2 linked regions of the Arabidopsis thaliana genome follow. The protein of the gene in region 1 interacts with the protein of each later gene in a biochemical or structural test. Each region holds a gene or a part of one and is shown in the gene's direction. Other genes may lie near its edges.

Evidence for each region.
Region 2: the proteins of PIL1 (region 1) and TOC1 form a complex in vitro, tested with the Arabidopsis thaliana proteins (one study listed by BioGRID).

The regions. Positions count from the first base shown.
Region 1 is NC_003071.7:19,294,157-19,300,910, reverse strand, and holds PIL1 (phytochrome interacting factor 3-like 1), read left to right. Parts: upstream 1-3,052; 5' UTR 3,053-3,232; coding exon 3,233-3,306; intron 3,307-3,373; exon of another isoform or gene 3,374-3,389; coding exon of another isoform or gene 3,390-3,397; exon of another isoform or gene 3,398-3,480; coding exon 3,481-4,015; intron 4,016-4,096; coding exon 4,097-4,204; intron 4,205-4,292; coding exon 4,293-4,358; intron 4,359-4,463; coding exon 4,464-4,529; intron 4,530-4,892; coding exon 4,893-5,294; 3' UTR 5,295-5,480; downstream 5,481-6,754. Other genes in the region: ASY3 (asynaptic protein), read left to right, coding at 1-8, 481-615, 794-885, 981-1,043; CYP709B1 (cytochrome P450, family 709, subfamily B, polypeptide 1), read left to right, coding at 6,699-6,754. UniProt on the Arabidopsis thaliana protein: Transcription factor. Involved in responses to transient and long-term shade. Required for the light-mediated inhibition of hypocotyl elongation. Necessary for rapid light-induced expression of the photomorphogenesis- and circadian-related gene APRR9.
Region 2 is NC_003076.8:24,671,960-24,679,730, forward strand, and holds TOC1 (CCT motif -containing response regulator protein), read left to right. Parts: upstream 1-3,003; 5' UTR 3,004-3,580; coding exon 3,581-3,713; intron 3,714-4,030; coding exon 4,031-4,192; intron 4,193-4,328; coding exon 4,329-4,462; intron 4,463-4,612; coding exon 4,613-4,780; intron 4,781-4,864; coding exon 4,865-5,018; intron 5,019-5,111; coding exon 5,112-6,217; 3' UTR 6,218-6,591; downstream 6,592-7,771. Other genes in the region: AT5G61370 (Pentatricopeptide repeat (PPR) superfamily protein), read right to left, coding at 49-1,512; AT5G61390 (Polynucleotidyl transferase, ribonuclease H-like superfamily protein), read right to left, coding at 6,843-7,077, 7,150-7,771. UniProt on the Arabidopsis thaliana protein: Controls photoperiodic flowering response. Component of the circadian clock. Expression of several members of the ARR-like family is controlled by circadian rhythm.

The DNA.
Region 1 (6,754 bases):
ATTACAAGGTACATCAACACATTATATCTTAATAGTTAATACTGTACTCGAATTCACAGTCATGAACATTAAGAAAGCTTAGAAGTTCAAATATACTATCTTTGCAGTTTAATCCTGATTCAAGGTAGTAGATCGGAAATTTGATATCAAGTATTACTCTTTAGATTGCATTTAGTCTTGAAGTACTCACCATCTTGCTTCATTCTTGTGCTTTCATGTCTCTTTGATTAGACACACACACACACCTAACTATACTTTCGGCTCTAACATAGACATGAAACTTGCATTTAACATAGTTATATCAAGACAAAGCTAAATGCTCAATTCATTCCTATGTGGAGAATAATAAAAAATTGAGCTGTGTATTGTTGTGGAACATGAGAGTCTGGAAATGTCTCCATATTTCCACTCATTGAATAAAAATATGCAAGATCCGTTCTGATCTATTGTGTTCACTGATAATATCTAATCGTCTAACAGAGCAAGAAGAGAAAATGAGAATGATCCATGAAAAGTTCAAGGACGATGTCAGCCATCATCTTGAAGATTTTAAGAGTACTATCGAAGAGCTTGAAGCAAACCAGTCAGAGCTGAAAGGAAGCATAAAGAAGCAAAGTATGTTAACTTCTGTAATTCCTGCTTTTACTACAACGAATTCTAACACTAGAAATACTTGAAACATATGATGTTATCAAAGTTAGATTCTTCATGGCAAGATAGTTTTAATATAATAATAGCAGGAGGACAAGTATTTCCTAAACTCACTTGATAACTTTTTATCTCTCTATGACAGGAACATCACACCAAAAACTCATTGCACATTTTGAAGGAGGCATCGAGACAAAACTGGACGATGCGACCAAAAGAATCGATTCTGTAAACAAGGCAAGTCATTGTTCTGCTTCTTAAGAGTCAGATTCTAAAAATGGTTAAATCATGAATTCAAAAGCACAACTTAAAAATGACGTATTGGTTTACAGTCTGCGAGAGGAAAGATGCTGCAGCTGAAGATGATTGTCGCAGAATGTTTGAGGGATGATTGACACTGAGTCTCACAGAATCAATCAACCACACGTACGTCGTTATTCTCCATTTTAAAACATAAACTAGACGAACTGTGTTAACCAGGAAAGAAAAACCTCTCAAGCAAAACCAGCCTTTGGTTTAGTGGTCTCATGAGTTCAGGCGAATAAAGAAGATATAGTAGATGATGCTTTGACTCATTGTCATTGATTCGTATTCGTATAGAATAGTTTATTGTTCACTGAACCACTACAAAACTACTTATATCATAGAGCCTTATTTTATATAGCAGTTTGAAGGTTTCTTTTTAATTTATTTTTGCCAGCAACTGCAGATATTTTTTATTAAACCAACAACTTTTAATTAGGTTATTGATATCTTGATATATATCGAAGCAAAACCAATCCAAACATTTTTCTTTTAAAAACCAGAATATTTTGCAGACGTTGATGTGAATTTTAATTACAATATTTTACTTTAACAGAGATGTATTTCATATTGAATATCAAAACCAAACTGAACAAAGAATGGTCACAATTCGATATCAATCGAATGAAACAGAAAATAAAATGTTGGACCCAACAATTTTACTGTGATGATAAAAACATGGTAGAGATAATTTTGTTTGTAAATAGAGAGATCTCAAATCACAGAGGATTCTTTTTTTACGGTCGGTAAAAGAATTTAGAATGTGTCGAGAGGGTAAAAATGGAGAAGACGACAAGATAGTAGCAGTCGTTAGAAACAAACAAGAAAGAAGGGAGGGAGACAAAATAACACAAAGGGGTGGATGAATCACGCGGCATTCACGTGAAGTGCACGTGAACTTGGCCAAAAAAAGCCTAATTGTGGGTCCCATTTAAAGAGAAAACTAAAGCCTTTAAGAAAGGGCCCATCCATATATGTCTTAATAATGGCGTGAAGGTTCTTTCCGCTCACGTGGGCCTTTTGTGCCCGTCTCTCTCGCATGTCACTCACTACAGTTTTACTAGTGTTTTGTTTTATTTTTGATAACAACATTATTGATTTTTTTTCGGTCTACCTAAGTTTTGACCTTTCTTTTTTAATTGTGAACAATTGAACATGCGTATTACTTATTGATAATACTTTTATCTTCAATAAAAAAAATAACACACGAACATAATATAGAAATAGTGTGTTCCAATACTGGAGATTATTTAGTAAGTTCAGTTGGACGCTTTGTCATTGCATAGTTTGGAATTTATTCCTAAACTTTCTAAGAACACGTTCTTATAGGAATTTGCATGACGAAAAAATCAATACTAGTTGCATTATTGTTGGAGCATCATCGGGAGTGATTTTTTTTGTGTTTTCCTATTTACTACATTGTGTTTTCCTGACCTTTTAAATAAAAAGGAAATACACAAAACCATATATAAATATATGTATATATATATCTGACTGTGCTCAAGTAAAATTCACGGATCAGACGTTAAAAAAATGATCATGCTTAATATTTTCTCATTTTAGATGAAGACAAAAAAAAAAAAAAGGAATTGCAATCGTAGATTTGACTTTATTTTTATTTAATTTTTCTATTCTTTTTCCGAAAGCAGAGAAAAATGGAGCGGTGGAGAGTAGAGAAGTCGGTCATAAGAATGTCTCTCTCTCTATTTCTTTGTCTTTCACTATCGCCCATACATTATCTTGCTTCTTTCATTTATTCCATCAATATTTTTGTTTTAAAATGAAAGATTTACACATTAACATGAATACTTATACTACTCTTTATCGCGTATATATAGTATAGTCTATGTTATTATGAATTTATGATTATATTTTTTCTATAAAACGTGCGAAAACTCATTTCACATATACAAACAAATATATACGTTTTGTATTAAAAAAAAGCAACTGTAAATTTTATAAATCTGAAATGTAACATTTGAAGTCGACCAAAGTTTGTAAGGTAATAATTTGTACTAATTCTCCATACTGTGTCATAATCACGATTCAAGGATAAATATATGAGTTGTGGACCAAAACAAATCCTCCATATCAATCAATCATAAATGAAATAAGCGAATATACATATATACAACCGACTATATATATATATATATGCTGCTCTTCATTAACCCCAAGAAAGAAAACCAAAGTGTGAAGTCCGAATCTCTCTGATTCTACAATTCACAAAAACCGGAAAAAAAAAAAGACAAGTAAAGAAAGCTTTGTTCAGTTTACTTCAATGGAAGCAAAACCCTTAGCATCATCATCATCTGAACCAAACATGATTTCTCCATCATCAAACATTAAACCAAAGTAAGTTTATTATGGTTTCATCTACACTTTTTGCGACTTCTATAAACATATACACATGCGTGGTTTTGAAATAATGGGCGCTTATGGTTCTGTCGGTGCTTGAAACAATTTTGTCTTCTCCTGACTATTTTTTTTTTGTTAATAGGTTATTTATACGTGACTCTTTTCTTGCAGATTAAAAGATGAAGATTATATGGAGCTGGTGTGTGAAAATGGGCAGATTCTTGCAAAGATTCGAAGACCAAAGAACAACGGTTCTTTTCAAAAGCAACGTAGGCAATCTCTCCTGGATTTGTATGAGACCGAGTACAGCGAGGGTTTCAAGAAAAACATCAAGATTCTTGGAGACACACAAGTTGTTCCGGTGAGTCAGTCTAAGCCACAACAAGATAAAGAAACCAATGAACAAATGAACAACAATAAGAAGAAGCTAAAGTCCTCCAAAATCGAATTTGAGAGAAATGTTTCGAAAAGCAACAAATGTGTTGAATCATCAACATTAATTGATGTTTCTGCTAAAGGTCCAAAGAATGTTGAAGTTACTACAGCTCCTCCTGATGAGCAATCTGCAGCTGTTGGTAGATCCACGGAATTGTATTTTGCTTCTTCATCGAAGTTTTCTCGAGGAACTTCGAGAGATCTAAGTTGTTGTTCTTTAAAGAGGAAGTATGGAGATATTGAAGAAGAAGAATCAACCTATTTAAGTAATGTAAGAGAAATTAATTAGCTGCTTGTCTTAGTTCTTTCACATGGTAGATCATTAATTGTCTTTTTCTTATTGCTTATGCAGAATTCAGATGATGAATCAGATGATGCGAAGACACAAGTTCATGCGAGAACAAGAAAGCCGGTGACTAAAAGAAAACGAAGCACAGAAGTCCATAAGTTATATGAAAGAGTGAGTTTATATGTATGAAAATTTCACCTTAGTTAGTAGAAAAAAAATAATGTATGAAAATTAATGCTAATTAAGGATTTGTTAACAGAAACGAAGAGATGAATTCAACAAGAAAATGCGTGCTTTGCAGGACCTACTACCAAATTGTTACAAGGTTTGAGATTAACTTAAATCACATTACATTGTTTACTTAGTCTTAGAGAGTTAATTAATTTTCTCTTTGTGGAGATTTCTGAATATCTGTAATTGTTGATGATAGGATGATAAGGCTTCATTGTTGGATGAGGCTATCAAATATATGCGGACCCTTCAACTTCAAGTTCAGGTATTCAAAATAATACACCAATTCAATAAAATTTCATTGAGAGATAATAAAATGATTCAGGTGTTAATTATTTAAACACAGACTTGTGTTTATATTTACATATAAATTTGTTTTTTAACATTAAAATATACTTTGTAAAGTGTTTTTGTTATCAAATATTATTGCGTTTGGCTTTTACCTTTACGAATGATTCTTGATAAAGTCACTAGAAACTAGTTTCATAAGAGAAACCAAAACAAATTATAAACGTAATTAAACACTAATCAATAAACAATCAAAAGTTTATTCCTTATTTATTTTACTACAAATTTTTTTACATATATATAAGATTCTTAATTAACATGCTCTAATAATTATTTACAGATGATGAGTATGGGAAATGGATTAATAAGACCACCTACGATGTTGCCAATGGGTCATTACTCTCCCATGGGTCTAGGAATGCATATGGGTGCAGCAGCAACACCAACATCAATACCGCAATTCCTGCCTATGAATGTTCAAGCAACCGGTTTTCCGGGGATGAACAATGCACCACCACAAATGCTAAGCTTTCTTAATCACCCAAGTGGACTAATTCCAAACACTCCTATCTTTTCTCCATTGGAAAATTGCTCTCAGCCATTCGTGGTGCCTTCGTGTGTTTCTCAGACTCAGGCTACTTCTTTTACTCAATTCCCAAAGTCTGCGTCCGCCTCAAACTTAGAAGATGCAATGCAATATAGAGGAAGCAACGGTTTTAGTTATTATCGCTCGCCAAACTAATGATTTGTAGAAAGTTGATGTTTTCTCCAACTAACTAACTTTAAGCAAAAAAAAATGATCGTCTACTCTGTGTTGTTAGTCTATGGGCTTTTGGGCCTTGATTCTTGGAACGATTTGAACTTAATTCCAACTATTTTCAAAGTGGATGTACAAAGTAAAATATAACAAATATAAGTTATCATAGACTCTATAACAAAGTTATAAGTAGAGGACGTGCAATTGCATAATGATGGATGATGATGAGTGTTCAATTACGATAAACCGATTTTAACGCAAACCCAACTAAGATGAAGACAACTCATTTGACCTAAATCGTAATTTGAAACGAATTTTGCCATGTTTTTGGGATTAAGGAACAATCTCAATGATGAGATTGAGTAAAGTACTACAAAACTTGGGCTTGATGGGCTTTTTAGTGGACTAATATCTACTTTATTCTTTCTTTTTTCAAACATTAAAAAATTAATTGGGCTTTTTCAAACACGAAAACAAGGGAGTGCAATAGTGTGATGAAGATGAGACTCACACATTGAATTTCTGATATTTTAGCGTCAGGTGCGTTGAAAACTTGAAATCAATGTGAAGATTCTCTTTTAAAAATAGATGACTCTTATTTCATGAGTTAACATGATACTTAAAGAAAGTGGATAGTTAAGTCTAAACCAATTCTTTTAGTATAGAAATAAAATTTCAACCACTTCCTTTAAATATGAAACCATGCAAAAGTAGATAACAAACGAAAAAGTGTTTCATTTTAAGATTCGATGTCACGATCCATCACATTGCACCGTTGGTTGATAAATATCTCTCATCTTTGTTTATTTATTTTCACAATGTTGTACTTCTATTTCTATAACATTTTCGTTTGAATTCAAATACCAAATTAACTCTCCAAACAATTAGTTCATCAAGTATTTTGTTCACAATGATATGTTAACAACAAATCATTGATTCATTGTCCATGCCGGATTATTTTAAAGATACAGAAACAGTAAACCTAAGATACAATGAATGCTAAAACTAAATTATTCTCCCAAAAGGATTACTTAGCTTTCATGAGTAATTTTATATTTTTCTTTTATCCACTCATTTTTTATATACTTTCTATAATTGTCTTATTACGTAACAAATATGTGCTATAGGCATATTTAGAATCTACTCTATCATCATACCATATATAAGACACATTTTACTTTATTAATTACTTTTTGTTTGTTCTCAAATTGAAAATAAACAGACGTGTTTGTGCTAACTTCATGTAGTGTTTAGATAGTGTTTCATTCACTGGCCATAGACTTATTTTACAAAGTTATATGTGCATGTCATTATATAGTGTAGAACTTAAAACACCTAACCAAGAACAACAATACACACACACAAACATAAGGAAAAAAAAACTTTTCCATGGGGCTCGTAATTTTCTTGGCACTAATTGTCTTAATCCTTATTATTGGTCTCAG
Region 2 (7,771 bases), on another chromosome or scaffold:
CATTGCCTGCTATATCAGATGTTCTTAACAATGGGTAGAAGAAATCAATCAATGTTGCAGATTCTTCTTCTTTGTCTTGCTCCTGCGTTTCGGTTTTAGTTTCAGTTTTGGCTTTGTTTTGTTCATTCTAGCGTGAATCTTCAAGTTAAGAGCACGACGATCCACCATTGCAGCTTCTTCTTTCATCTTCATAGGTTTGAAAACCTCTGTGACAGATGGATCAAGCAAACTAATGGAGCAACTAAGTGTAACATCAATTGACAATGCCTCTTCCCAAAGCTCTCTTCCTTTCTCAAAGTTTCCTCCTTTACATAGTTTTGGTATGAGCAGATCATAAACCTGACCATAACCACCCACTGAGCTTCTCTTCATCTTCTCAAACAATTGAAGAGCAAAGTTAACCCGCTCGACCCCACAAAGAACCCCGATCAGATCATAATAGAATTTGCGTTCGGGTCTAAATCCTCTCTCGATCATCTCATCCACAATTTGGTTGCCTTTACCAAACCTTCCTGTCAAATACAGGACCCTCACAACGAAGTAATAGCTCCCTGTATCCGGATCACATCCCGATCTTTTCATCTGTTCTAAAATCTGGCAGGACTCTCTCACCCTCCTAGTCCTTCCCAAACAAGAGAGCAAAATGTTGTAACTCATAGACGTAGGTTGGATTTTGTAAGACCTCATCTCCAACATAATATTCAAAGCTTCAGGAACAAGCCCAGACGGGTTTCGATTCACGTTTCTTTCGCAAAGGCAGGTCAGCAACGAGTTGAAACAGAACAAATCCGGTGTAATCCCTGCTGATTTCATATCTTGTATAACTCTTCTTGCTTCCTTCACGTTTCTTTGTACCGACCACCCGAATAAAAGACTTCTATACACAGACAATTCATTCCCGGATATTACATCCTTGTGATGATGCATAACTCCCAATGCTCTCTTCACATGTCCTCTGGAACAAAGAGCGCTTATAATAGCCGTCACAGTGAAACCATCTTGTGGGCAAGAAAATTTGTCCAAGATCTTGAAGATACCTATTGCATCTTCTTCCTTACCAACCTTAACCAGAGTTTCAGCGACAATGCTAAACGTTTGCTTGTCCATCGCCCGATTCTCCTTCCTGAGATCTGATAAGAGTATCTGCATAGCTGTGTGATCCTTCTTCTCAGCCAAAACTCTTAGGACATAGTTGAATTCCTTGTCGTGTAAACTAGATCCCAAGCTTTTACACGACCAGGAGAAAAACCTCAACAGCCTTCTCGGTGAAGTCTCGTTCTTGCAAGACTCAATCACTTGGGTAACAAGGTTTGATGATGGAGAAACAGAAACCTGGTTCAAGTTTTCTTCAAGGTCATCTAGACCACCAACTGGAGAAGAAACTATCCGAATAACTTCATGCAACGCCGTTTCCGATCGGTCAACTAAATGGTGAGAGCAAAAGTAACGTGTCAGTTTTGCAGTACTCGTTAGATACGTAAACCTGTTTAATCTGACTGTGGTGGACATCATCTTCTCTGAGGAATTTCATCAAACACTTGATATGCGTATGCTTCTTAAAAGCCGCCAAATATAAACCATAGAAGGGACTCTCTCCTGACTTACATGTTTCTCAGAGTATTTACAACTTCGTTGTAAATTCTTTCAGCAACATGAAATTCAGATTTCTATTAAAAGACCTAAATTTGCAGATTTCATGAGATCGCTCGGCTCAACAACAATATATATTCATTTGTTGGAAACATTGCCCGCGTGTCTGAAAAGGGCATTTTAGTCTTTTACATTCCATCACGCTTCAAATTCAGAACCGGATAAAACCGATAATCGTGAGATACGATGGTTATAACTTATAAGTCACTAACCGGAATGATTACTCTCGAAGGCCGCCGATGCATATTGGAAAATCGAACTCCCGATAAAATAGTTCTGAAATTACACGAATAATTAACATCATAAAGTCATAAACAAGTTATTGGTCAATGGTCGATGGCAAAACGTAATAAAAGTTGGACCGGGACAAAACGTGTCTTACGGTGGATGAAGTTGAGAATATATCATGCATTATTGGTCCACTTGTACTAACGATATTCGCAGCTACTAATATGAGCCAATCGGTAATACGAAATATTTTAGCTTGTCGACTACTTACTTTCTATATAAAAGTTTAGCCTACTAATTATCTCTTTTTATGATTATGACAACTTGATTATTTGTTTCCCAACCACTGATGATGAGATTAACCATCTTTTTTGCTAAGAAGGTAAATATTTCATCTTGCTAATGTCCTGTTTACAAGACAATTTGCACACATACACTTATAACATTAGAAAAAAACACTTGAAACTTTGTTACAACATATCATTTAGCTTGATTTTTCAATCACTTTAAGAAGTTAATGAATCATAATGCCTAAATAAGTCCTCTATAACAACCATGAAAGGAGTGTTATATCTATAACCCTGTGCTTTTAGAAAGAATCATAATTTTTAGGAGTCTTTTGTGATGAGAAATTGAGATGTAATAAAAGTAAAATTTTCTATATCTGTATCTTTCGTTTTTTATTTTTATTTTGTTTGTATCTTTAATTCTTCAGTACCTAAAGATAACAGAAAAATAAAATTCTGATAATAGATTTTCTTGTTGTTATAAATATATTTTAATAAACGAAACGAAGCCGAATCCTAAAATTTGGTTTCTGATGGTTTGGTCTGATCTGGTCATATATTTTAAAAGAATTTGCAATTTTTTCTTTCTGTCGACCTTTTGATATGTTTGTTGATTTTGATATGGAGATGCATCTTCTTATCTTGTATCTTACCACAATAATATCAAAAACAAAAATAAATATCATGAGATATTTTCTCCAAGATGACGTGGCCTTTTCTCTATCTCAACCAAACTATCCAACACAACCTTTTTTTTTATGGCCTGCACTTTTTATTGTCCACGTCATCTCCTTGGCCTAAAATATCCCAAGTCCCACCATTAAGCTACACAACAACGCGTAAGAAAAAGACTTAATCTCCACCGTCCAATTCTATCCTCTTTCAACGGTCTCTGATTTACCATCTCTCTCTCTCTTTTTCGCGTCTCATAATTTGACCATTGATTGACAAAACAAAACAATGAGTCTTCTTTCTCTTCTCACTCTTCTTGTCGGAAATTCACCTTCTCTCTCTCTCCTCCTCATCTCACCGCCGGCGTTACGCCGGATCTCCGGTGACTTTTGTTGAGCTTTTTTGTTGATTCATGATTCGATATAGAGAAAAAAGAATTTCCTATTTCAGCTCTTTGTTCTTAGATTTATCTTTTTGTTTGTTCTTATGGATAAAGGATTAGGTTGGGGGATTAAAAGAGTAGTTTTTGTTTGGTTGTGAGATTACTTGACTTTGTTAAGGGGATAAATTAGGCGACTTTGTAGGGACACTGTACCGAAAAACCCTAGTTCTGATTTGGCCATGGAAGTATCATAGCACTTACTATTGTCGGCTTTACTTCTTCTACTTTTGTATAATCCTTTTTTTTCTTAGGTTCTGTGATTAGATATTTTTTTTGTGTGGGTTTAGTTGTTAATCTGATCATGGATTTGAACGGTGAGTGTAAAGGAGGAGATGGGTTTATTGATAGAAGCAGAGTCAGGATTTTGCTTTGTGACAATGATTCCACGAGTTTGGGAGAGGTTTTTACTCTCCTTTCAGAGTGTTCTTATCAAGGTATGATTTATAGGTTTGTCCTTGTCTTGTTCCCAAAGTTTCTCTTTTTACTTTGTTATTTTTTGCTAAGTTGGGATTACTACTTTAGATTGCAGATCTCTTATAGGTTCTTGTCGTCTGGCTTTTTGAGTCAGTATGGTCAGATGTGATCAAGATGACATTTTTAACCTTTGTTGATTTTAGTACCTTATTGATAGTTTTTGAATGCATCTCTAGTGTGTATTGCTTTCTATTTTTACACTATGCTCAACTGTTTGTTGTTCAAGACTCAATGATGATATATTGGATGAATTGTTTTTATTCTTTTTGGAATGCAGTGACTGCAGTGAAATCAGCAAGGCAGGTGATTGATGCACTTAATGCAGAGGGACCTGATATCGATATAATACTGGCGGAAATTGATCTCCCAATGGCTAAGGGTATGAAGATGCTGAGGTACATCACACGAGACAAAGATCTTCGCAGAATCCCTGTGATAAGTAAGCTGTGTTCTTTGTTGCTCTTCTCGTTTTATTATCTATTCGTGAAGTTGTATCTTCTCTGCTTATCAAAGTGCTTTTGACAGCATGATCATTAGCTTTATACTGACTAATCTTATAATATTCTCAATTTAAGTGATGTCGAGGCAAGACGAAGTCCCTGTCGTTGTAAAGTGCTTGAAGCTAGGTGCAGCTGACTACCTTGTGAAGCCTCTTCGCACCAACGAGCTTCTGAACTTGTGGACACACATGTGGAGAAGAAGACGCATGGTTTGTTTTGCTTGTCTCAAGTTCTCTCTATTTATCTTACTGTTTTTGAGCAATACTTGATAGCCATATCTCTCAATCTGTCGTCTTCTGAAATAAAAGACCTTGATGCATGAAGTTAATGCTATTGATTTCATATATTTGTTTTGGCAGCTAGGACTTGCTGAGAAGAATATGTTGAGCTATGATTTTGATCTTGTGGGATCTGATCAAAGTGATCCAAACACAAATAGTACCAACCTGTTCTCTGACGACACAGATGATAGAAGTCTTAGGTCCACCAACCCACAGAGAGGAAATTTAAGTCACCAGGAAAATGAGGTGAGAAAGTATTTGACAGTTTAAAGCCCTCTGAAAATGGAGAAGAACTGATTTTTTAGCTTGCGCTCATGCTTTTGCTGGTAGTGGTCTGTTGCTACTGCTCCTGTTCATGCTCGTGATGGTGGTCTTGGTGCTGATGGAACAGCCACTTCTTCTCTTGCTGTTACTGCTATAGAGCCTCCATTGGATCATCTTGCTGGGTCTCACCATGAGCCAATGAAAAGAAATAGTAATCCAGGTGATTGTTTCTCTTTGATGTCTCACTTTCTAATAGCTAGTCTCTAAAAGAACCTTTGTTTTAGTGAATTCTAATATAGTAGGGGTTTTGCAGCGCAATTTTCTTCAGCACCGAAGAAAAGTAGATTGAAGATCGGAGAGTCCTCTGCTTTCTTTACATATGTCAAATCTACTGTCCTTAGAACTAACGGTCAGGATCCTCCTCTTGTCGATGGAAATGGCTCACTTCATCTTCATCGGGGTTTGGCGGAGAAGTTTCAAGTGGTGGCTAGTGAAGGGATCAACAACACCAAACAAGCACGCAGAGCAACACCAAAATCTACTGTCCTTAGAACTAACGGTCAGGATCCTCCTCTTGTCAATGGAAATGGCTCACATCATCTTCATCGGGGTGCGGCGGAAAAGTTTCAAGTGGTGGCTAGTGAAGGGATCAACAACACCAAACAAGCACACAGAAGTAGAGGGACCGAGCAATACCATTCTCAAGGAGAGACCTTGCAGAATGGCGCCAGCTATCCACATTCCCTTGAGCGGTCACGCACGCTTCCCACATCAATGGAATCTCATGGTAGGAACTACCAAGAGGGCAATATGAATATTCCCCAAGTTGCTATGAACAGAAGTAAAGATTCGTCTCAAGTTGATGGATCGGGTTTCTCTGCACCAAATGCCTATCCTTACTATATGCATGGGGTCATGAACCAAGTTATGATGCAATCAGCAGCCATGATGCCTCAATATGGTCATCAAATTCCTCATTGCCAACCAAATCATCCGAATGGAATGACGGGATATCCTTACTACCACCACCCAATGAACACATCTTTGCAGCATAGTCAGATGTCTTTACAGAATGGTCAGATGTCTATGGTTCATCATTCTTGGTCACCGGCAGGAAATCCGCCTTCTAATGAGGTGAGGGTAAATAAACTTGACAGAAGAGAGGAAGCTCTGCTGAAATTCAGACGTAAAAGGAACCAACGTTGTTTTGATAAGAAGATTAGGTATGTGAATAGGAAACGCCTTGCTGAGAGGAGACCCCGCGTTAAGGGTCAGTTTGTTAGGAAGATGAACGGCGTGAATGTTGATTTAAATGGACAGCCTGACTCTGCTGACTATGATGACGAGGAAGAGGAGGAAGAAGAAGAAGAAGAGGAGAACCGGGATTCATCTCCTCAGGATGATGCTTTGGGAACTTGAAGATACACCAAGAACTGAAAACCGTTGTGTTATACGTATTTGCTTGCATCTTATCAAACAACAGAAGATGTTGATCGACTGACACGAAAAAGATGATACTGCTACAGCCAAAAAAACATCGAATATCGAGTTGTCTCTAAGGCAATGTTGGCTCTTGCGGCTCAACTTTTTGACAGAGCATTGAAAAGCTCTCATTGGGTTTAGCTTAGTTCGTTGATAAACATATAATGTATTTTATCATGTTCACTCACATTCTCTCAGTAAGTACTCAGATGTATTAACCTTTCTTCTCCTTCCAGTATCATTTACTTGAATCTTGTTTTTCCCTCGCTCTCTCACCTGTGTTTACATATATAATTATATATAATCGCTCCATGTCTTCCACCACTAAAGCTTCTGTCTTTCCTCGGAAAAACACAATACAAATGCAATTGTGTCACAGACAAGAAGCATATGAAAATCTAAATTTGGATTTAAGTTATCTGAAACTAAGAACATAATCAGCTGTATATCTACTGTCAGGAACAACAGTTCTGTGTTTCTTTCATGACTACATAAATAAATCTCTACAGTCCACTAAACTCTGATTTCTTTAATTCTCTGTGGTGCTATTGAGTAAGGTCCACTAATGTATAACAAGCTTTCTAGCAACTAGACGGATTCCGGCTCTCTGCTGATAATCATATGGCTCCAGAGACAAGAAAGCGTCAAGAACAGTTCTCGGATTCAACAAAGACTCAATCTCTTCAGCCTTGGGGTTGCTAGAAATGAGTTTCTGAGTAGCAGTAGCTCCAGAGAACTCTTTCTGGTGTATCTCAGCTGCGTACCGATCTATATCTCCATTTAACTCTGTGGGTATACTGCACATACAAAGAAATAATCAGGAAAAAAAGCAAATGAAATAAGTAAAGGAGATATATAGGAAAACATACTGTATCCTTGCAGTGGGACAGTTCAGAAATCCTTTCATTGGAATGACTAGAGGGTTCCAGTCAGAACCACTGCCTGAATCAACAGATATTGTCTGTGCAGCACTGTCGCATTCTTGAAGTACGTTGCAGAGACTTGGATACAGATCAATTACAAAGTTCAACCTCCGTCTTCCAGCTTTATCCATAAATTTCCCATTGATTCCAAACCGTACTTTCAGACGAGGACAATGGAGCTGAAGGGGTCTGTCCCCAAGGAAGAGTTGCAGCTTCATTGTTTGGCTCCCGTCATATAGCGGGACATGAGTTGCTCTGATACTTGAAACAGATATTTTATCTAGCTCCATGAATCCTTCCTGGTCACCGGTACCTTCAGAGGCAACAGTCTCAGACTGCTGATTTTGTTCTTCTTCCATGGGAACATCTGATTGAAGAACTTCAGGGGCTATTTCGTTCCTCAAAGTGCTCATATCAAATGGATCCGTTTGAGCTTCTGCGGATGAAACAAATGATAAAATAGGTATAGTTGTCATGTTCTCTCCTGTCTGCTGATCAGTGGGAGATTGCAGAGGAGATTTTTTTATAGTCCTACGCCTTCTTGAACTAGTTTCAGGAGTAGTAGTAG